2 linked regions of the Macaca fascicularis genome follow. The protein of the gene in region 1 binds, or shares a complex with, the protein of each later gene. Links are inferred from orthologs where the notes say so. Each region holds a gene or a part of one and is shown on either strand. Other genes may lie near its edges. The genes, in order: KPNB1 and PTHLH.

Region 1 (3,813 bases):
TGAGCACTTTCCAAGATCACATTGTATGTTACCATTTGTCCCTGTATGTTTCTGTTTCTGCTAAGAGATCCCTGGTCAGCTCTCATTGTATGCGTTTAGTATACAGAGCTTGATTGCTTTTGTCTAGAATTTGCTTTGTTTCTCCTCAGGCAGCAGAACAAGGACGGCCCCCTGAGCACACCAGCAAGTTTTATGCCAAGGGAGCACTACAGTATCTGGTTCCAATCCTCACACAGACACTAACGAAACAGGTGAGTTACCTTCCAAATATAGGTAGGTAAGCTGTGAAACCTTACTAAGAGTAAACTGTTTGCTGTGGAACAGTTTCCATGGAAGGAACTTGGCAACCCATCAACTATTTGATGTTCTGTTGTTGATGGCTCAGGAACAGCTAAGCTGGATCTAGAAGATCCCCTAGGCTCTGACTTCTTTGTGAAGGAGAACTAGGTCTTAACATCTCAGATGCATCTTGCTCAGGAGTGAGCCACATGCTGCTCTGATTTCCTGAGTGCTCCATTGTCCAAACTCTTAGAAGAGAGGTGCTCTATCAACGCTTCAGTGAAGCAAGGTTGGGAGCAAAGATATGCTGGTTTTAGGCCACTTGCCTATCTGTTCTAATGTCTAGGATACTTTTGTGAGTTCACAGGGTATATGCTTTTAAAATGCTAAAGAAGTTGGATATGAGTTATTCAGATCCTAATGAAGGACCCCAACCCAAGAAAGAAACCCTTCTACTAATCCTTTAAGATGATTAACTTGAATTATTAAGATTCAGACTGAAAGTGAAGTGACAAGACTTCATAAAGATTGGGGTCTAATGAGTAAATATAGAAGTTCTTTTATGAGGACCGTGTCCTGGTTGCTTTTGTTCTCCCGACTTTATGCAACACAGTGTTTCTTGATACGGTGTTTGGGAAGGTTCTTTTGGTGCATGTGAAGTTATTACCAAAGAGCTGCTAGTACTCTGAGGAAACAATGCTGGTAACTGAGCACTGCATCATTTCTTTGTACACAGGAATGTAATTGTTTTTAGGGATGTGTATGATTCTCAATATAGTAGTTTCAAAAGCTAAGTAGGGATGTGTTTGGATTAAAATGAACTGGATGTTCCCTTACATTTTAACCTCTCCTTTCAGGTTTTTTGTTTTTGTTTTTTTTTCTTTTGTTTTGAGACGGAGTCATACTCTGTCGCCCAGGCTGGAGTGCAATGGCATGATCTCGGCTCACTGCACCCTCTGCCTCCCGGGTTCAAGCAGTGTTCCACCTCAGCCTCCCAAGTAGCTGGAAATACAGGTGCGCACCATCACAACCAGCTAATTTTTGTATTTTCAGTAGAAGTGGGGTTTTGCCATGTTGGCCAGGCTGGTCTCGAACTCCTGACCTCAGGTGATCCGCCCGCCTCAGCCTCCCAAAGTGCTGGGATTACAGGCATGAGCCACTGCGCCTCGCCTATTGTTGCTATTTTTATCTTTTGACTTTGTGTCTTGTCTTTTGTGTGTGTGTGTGTGTGTGTGTGTATATATATTTTATATTTATTTGTTTGTTTATTTCTTAGACGGAGTCTCACTCTGTCGCCAGGCTGGAGTGCAGTGGTGCGACCTCGGCTCACTGCAACCTCTGCTTCCTGGGTTCAAGCGATTCTCCTGCCTCAGCCTCCTGAGTAGCTGGGACTACAGGCATGCACCACTACGCCCAGCTAATTTTTGTATTTTTAGTAGAGATGGGGTTTCACCATGTTGACCAGGATGATCTCGATCTCTTGACCTTGTGATCCGCCCACCTTGGCCTCCCAAAGTGCTGGGATTACAGGTGTGAGCCACCACACCCGGCCTACTTTCTTATATTTTTACTGTGCTTTTCCTCTTTGAGAACAAATTATTCTTTGTGTGATTTTCTGAAACTGCGTAGGCAACCTGCCTTAAGTTACTATGTGGTGTGAATGGCCACAATTAGGAAGCTATACCTTGGATTTTAACTTAAGAGGAGATATTAGTGGAATCTTTTCTTTTTTGAACTTTTGTGTTTTTGTTTTTTGTCTTTTTGGGGGGATGGGGGGTACAGAGTCTCACTCTGTCATCCAGGCTGGAGTGTGGTGGGGCAGTCTTGGCTCACTACAACCTTCATCTCCCAGGTTCATGTGATTATCTTGCCTCAGCCTCTCGAGTAGCTGGGATTAACAGGCATGTGCCACTATACCCAGCTAATCTTTGTATTTTTAGTAGAGGCCAGGTTTCACCATGTTGACCAGGCTGGTCTCGAAGTCCTGACCTCAAGTGATCTGCCTGCCTTGGCCTCCTAAAGTGCTGGGATTACAGGCATGAGCCACTGCGCCTTGCCTCTTTTTTGAACTTTTGATTGAATCATGTCTTCTTTCCAGTCATGAAACTCCCTCACTTTCCTGGTCTGTTATTCCATAAGTTAATTTTTGTTGATTTTGGACGTTATTTATTCTTTTTATTTATTTATTTTTTCTAAGACAGTCTCACTCTGTTACACAGGCTGGAGTACAGTGGTGTAATCTCGGCTCACTGCAACCTCCGCCTTCCAGGTTTAAGCAATTTTCCTGCCTTGGCTTCCTGAGTAGCTGGGACTACAGGAACGTGCCACCACACCTGGCTAAGTTTGGTATTTTTAGTAGAGACGGGGTTTCACCACCTTGACCAGGCTGGTCTCAAACTCCTGACCTCAGGTGATCCACCTGTCTTAGCTTCCCAAAGTACTGAGATTACAGGCGTGAGCCACCGTGCCTGGCCAATTTTGTACTTTATATAACTGGAATCATACAGCATACACTCTAGTTCTGCATTTTGTTCTAAATGTTTGGGATTCATTCTTTTTGGATGTAGTTGAAATTTTTTCATTCTTGTTGTTTAGTACTAAATGGAATCTTCTTGCTTCTGAATCTTGTTTAACAAAGACTATGCTGTGAGGAATGTTTGTGGAAGAGATAAAATATAAAGGTCTTATATTTTATTTCCCTGAAGTTTAAGTTCTAAAGACATTCAAGTAGTCAGAGGACCTTTAGAGTTAAAATGATTCTTTGGACAAAATCTTAACTAGTGCCATATTCTTTCACCAGGACGAAAATGATGATGACGATGACTGGAACCCCTGTAAAGCAGCAGGGGTGTGCCTCATGCTTCTGGCCACCTGCTGTGAAGATGACATTGTCCCACATGTCCTCCCGTTCATTAAAGAACACATCAAGAACCCAGATTGGCGGTACCGGGATGCAGCAGTGATGGCTTTTGGTTGTATCTTGGAAGGACCAGAGCCCAGTCAGCTCAAACCACTAGTTATACAGGTGAAGCTGAGGGATTTTTGGAGTAGAAAGTAGAATATTTATTGTTTAAACTTAAAGCATATCTTTATTTTTCAAAACAAAACTGTAAATTGTCATCTACAAAGATTATTTATAGATACCTATTTACTTTTAATGAGAGTAAAATATATTTCTTAGGTTTCTAATTAGTCAGCATGATCCAGAGACTTTTGAAAAAAGCCAAAAGAGAAGTCACCTTTAATTTCATTGCCCAGAAATAACCGCTCTTAACTCTGTATTTATCCTTGAAGCTTTTTCCTGTGTAAATGTGTGTGCAACAGGCGCTTTCTGTGCAGATTGTTTTATAACTTGTTTCTTCATTTAATACTATGTTGTAAACATTTCCCGATAATTTTTTTTTGCACCTAGCACTGATTCCCCATAATTTTAAATAATGGCATTATTATTCTATTCTTTGGACAAAATGGCCTTTATATAATGAAAATGTTCTTGTGGAAATGTTGTGCTTGTTTTTTTATTAAAAATCGTGC
Region 2 (3,913 bases), on another chromosome or scaffold:
AACCATGCCTGTAATGTGATGATCTATTACCCATTAACTATGAGAATGTTTTGTGGTAGTTTTATAACCATCTGCTGAGTGTGAGTGTTTAACTACAATATTGTATTTCACCCACAAACAGAACTATAACAGTCACTGGCTGCTAAATGGTTTCTGATGTGTGTTTTGTAAGGTGCAACAAAGAAAGAGTTAAAAATAGCCTTTAGGACAACTTAGCAGTATTTTTATGCCATAGTTGTGTACATAATCATGGCTCATTTGCTGTTTCTCAAAAGAGAAGATAGGTATTCTTAAGCAACCTTAAAGAAAAAATTGGCTCTGTTCCAAGGTAGTATTTCTTAACCAAATAAATATAGTATTTAAGTATGCTTTTAAAAATTCAGTCATTTCTATTTATATATGAATTTTAAATTATAGAATTTAACACAAGTCTCAAAATGAGCAAAAAGTCTGAACACAATTTTCAGAAATACATCGGTAAAAAGTTGATCTGAAGAATACAATGCAGCTTTATCTTCGGTATAATGTTCTACACAATTTGCCTTAGGAGATTCATAATAGATTTTCATTTTGATGCCAAGGTTCAGACATGTCTCAAGTATTTTCATTTAAGGATTTTCTTCTCTAATAATAATAGACCACGAGCACGTATAAAACAGTTGCCTTTTTGTACATCCTCGGGAATTTACAAGGAGGCACCATAAACCTGACTGTAAATATTAGATGCTGCTATTTTTATTGTTAGTGTAAAAATTTGCCTTAATTCCTTCTCCAGAGTCAAACTCTTCTTCTTAGTTCTCGAACTTTATAATCTTCCCATTCTGAACACTGAGTCTGCAGTTTAAAGATCACCCAAATATGGTGTTACACACATTAGTGAACTGCTAGGTCCAACAGATTATTAAGATCATGTTACTCTATCACTCTTCCAAGTTTTCAGTCACACGACATAGTGATATTTCTCTGGTGTGCTTGGATGTATGATTATTTCAAAGTCGAAGTTATCATTAAAAGAATCACCAAGTGAGAATGCCAAAATACAAGTTTTCAGTCTACAATGCAAATATTTGACTCCGAATTAAAGAACTGTTAGCAATAACTCCAAGAAAAAAAAAGTTTCCACACCTAAAATTCATTTTGGAACCAAGCACTCTAGCGTTCCTGAACTGTATCAATACTAACATTGGAGTCTTGCCACTGCAAAGTTGTTACTACTTTATTATATAATATGCTTTCATTATGTAATATGGTCCTATTTTATATGCTTAAAATTATGTCATTCATAATAAAATTAGATGTACGGCTTTTGCTTTTTCACACGCAAACCGCCACCCACATTCAGTACGTATACAAGCGCGCAGACCATACGTCCCCAGGACCGCTCAGCTTCCTCGGAGTTTCAGAAGCTTCCTGGGTCCTGACAGTAACAACCACCCCCCACCTTTTTTTTTTTTTCTCTCACTAGAGGCAGAGGATCTCTGCCTAGAAGAGATTCTGTGAAACGCTCCCTCTTATGGAAACACACATAAAATCTGTCTCTTGCCTGTCTCCCCTTGAAGATCAACCAGTCCTCCCGCCGGGTTTGAGGACCCGGACTCAGGCCGTGGCAGGTATCCGGGATGGTCCCTCTCCCTAACCCGGGCGAGGAGCATCGGTGACCGCTGCAAGCCCTCGGCAGCGTCCCAGCTTGGCAGCCCCTCCCCCTGGCCTCCCCAACCCGGCGCCTTGGGGAGGATGGGGCACTTACAGGCGGCGGCTGAGCCCCTCCACCGAGCGCCCGCAGGAGGGCACCGCGTAGCTCAGCAGGAACACCGCGACGCTCCACTGCTGAACCAGTCTCCGCTGCATCGTCTCCGCTCGCGCTCGGGACCTGCAACAGAAGGGAGAGGGACCCGAGTGTCAGTCTGGACTCTTCATCTCCCCGCACTACTCCGCTTTCCCTTTATAGCCCGGTCTCAAAAAGCCTCTTCAACATCAAGGGCATCTCCCAAGTTGAAAAGGAAAAAAAAAATTATCTGGAGCCTCTCAGCACTTACTTATTTAGCAACCGGCTACTCCAACTGTGCTTTCTCCAAACCACACAGCCAGAAAGAGCAAAAAGGGAAAAAAGAAACAAATCAGAGGCGCTTCCTCTGAAATAGCGAAAATGAAATGGTTTTATATATGCATCAATGATAAGTAATGTGTTTACACGTCTCCCATAGCAATGGCTAATTAATCTGGCCAGCAGTTCTCCTGGGTTCGTGGAACAGGGCTAACCGCCTCCTAAAAGAAGAAAGTTTCCCCCTCTGAAGTCAGCTTCTTTGAGAACCAGGCCCTTTGGTTCCAGAGCCACTTGTAGCGAAACCCACATATATATACATAGCTGTCTGTCTACCTCCTCTGGTGGGCTGGTTGCTTCCGGAAAGTTGATTCCACACACCCTGAGAACAAGTTTCAAGAGCGTGTGTCGTCGATCAGGAGGGCCAGGTGGCGGCGAGGGCGGGTCGTTAGCGGCAGCCGGAGCGGCAGGGCGGCGGCAGCCCCGCTTCACGGGAGGGGAGACATGCCGGTCGGGCGGCGCAGGTTGGAGGCGAGTTGAAAGCCGAGCGGAGGAATGTTCACACGCTCCGAGGCAAACCTGCCGGAGAAGTGAGAGAGTCGCAAAGAGGTGGCGCCCTAGGAACGCGCGCGGGGCGAGCGAGGGCGCGGGCGGGCGCGCGGGGGGCGGGGGCGGCGACGGGCGGCCCGAACGGGCCCCGCGCCGCCCGAGCGAGTGGAGGGGAGCCCCGAGCAGGGAATGAACGGCGAGCGGCGGAGCTCCCCCCTCCCGCGCCGCCGCCCCCGGAGCTGTCCGGAGCTCTACCGAGCCCCACCCCGGAGCTTGGGCCCTGTCGCGCCATCCCCGGGCCGGGGGCGTGGGCGGATCCGCTTGCTCCCTCCAGGCCCGGCCGGCTCCTGCCGGCGCGCCGGATCCCGGAGCCGAGATCCCCGAGGGCGTGCGGACGGCCCCGGGCAGCTGGCGGTTCCCGGCGCGCCGGGCTGGACCAGCGGGCGCCAAGACCACCAGGGGCGGACCGACGAGGAGGAGGCCAAGGAGCGGGGCCGGGGACCACGGGCGCCCGGGAGCCTGCGCGGAGAGGACGCGGGCTGTTGGCCTGTGAATTTAAGGAGCCCGAAGCTCGCCTGGCAGCTCGGGGCGATGGATGAGAACCTTCTTCCCTGGCTCATTCCCGGGATGAACTGAGTGGGGAGCATCGGCTAGAGAGAGGGAGATCTTTTGCTTAGAAGAGAGCAAAAACGGTTCCAGACTTCAGATCTAAATTGCACTTTTTGCTGTTTCAGAACTGCTGGTAGACATCTGGAGCCGGTCCAAAAAAACCCGCGCACGGGAGAGATCCCCCTTTTGAATTGCAGAGGGGCACCGACACTCCTGGGGCACGCACACGGCCCTTTTCCCCCCTGGTCAGGAGTCTAACCCATCCTTTCTCTGATACTCTACCCGGTTGTCCCCTCCCCCTCAAAAGTGCCTGATTACAGATTCTAGGAAGATTGTATCCAAGTCACTGCAGCCAGCGGACAGACGCAGCGGAACTATGGTTGTGTGCTGCTCTGCTTGGGAGAAGCGACGGGAAAGCAGAGGTTCTTTCCAAAGCTAATGGGCGGGGAAGAAAGACTGCTCGGAATGACTGGGTAGTATCATCTAGGAAAGGATTGCAGCGGGAGTGGATACCCGCCCCAGGGCTCCTCTAACTTTGTGAAAAGAGCGCGAGTGACTGGGAACCATTCAAGGGATATTTGTCTTCTAGGCAATCCTGCTGGTAGGGTTCATTAGTTTCTAGAAGGCTAGTGTGATTTAGAGACTTGAGATGATTCAAGGAGTGTGGCCTTTATCAAGCCTGGCCTTCCAGGTGATGCTCCACATATTTTACCC

Evidence for each region.
Region 2: the proteins of KPNB1 (region 1) and PTHLH are in contact, whole or in part, in a crystal structure (PDB 1M5N), measured with the Homo sapiens proteins. The link is inferred for Macaca fascicularis from reciprocal best matches to the Homo sapiens genes KPNB1 and PTHLH. Residues at the interface, in NP_002256.2 of Homo sapiens: Val55, Tyr104, Pro106, Gln111, Glu152, Tyr156, Gln159, Asn196, Leu199, Asn200, Gln239, Glu274, Gln278, Glu281, Asp288, Ile295, Ser298, Glu299, Asp339, Asp340, Trp342, Val350, Met353, Glu395, Trp430, Arg434, Glu437, Asn469, Trp472; in NP_945316.1 of Homo sapiens: Tyr103, Thr105, Gln106, Glu107, Thr108, Asn109, Lys110, Val111, Glu112, Thr113, Tyr114, Lys120, Thr121, Pro122, Gly123, Lys124, Lys125, Lys126, Lys127, Lys129.

Annotation. Positions count from the first base shown.
Region 1 is NC_088390.1:59,071,102-59,074,914, reverse strand, and holds part of KPNB1 (importin subunit beta-1), read left to right. Parts: intron 1-149; coding exon 150-251; intron 252-3,079; coding exon 3,080-3,304; intron 3,305-3,813.
Region 2 is NC_088385.1:30,724,243-30,728,155, forward strand, and holds the start of PTHLH (parathyroid hormone-related protein), read right to left. Parts: upstream 2,634-3,913; 5' UTR 2,378-2,633; intron 2,330-2,377; exon of another isoform or gene 2,037-2,329; intron 1,871-2,036; 5' UTR 1,849-1,870; coding exon 1,748-1,848; intron 1-1,747. UniProt on the Homo sapiens protein: Neuroendocrine peptide which is a critical regulator of cellular and organ growth, development, migration, differentiation and survival and of epithelial calcium ion transport.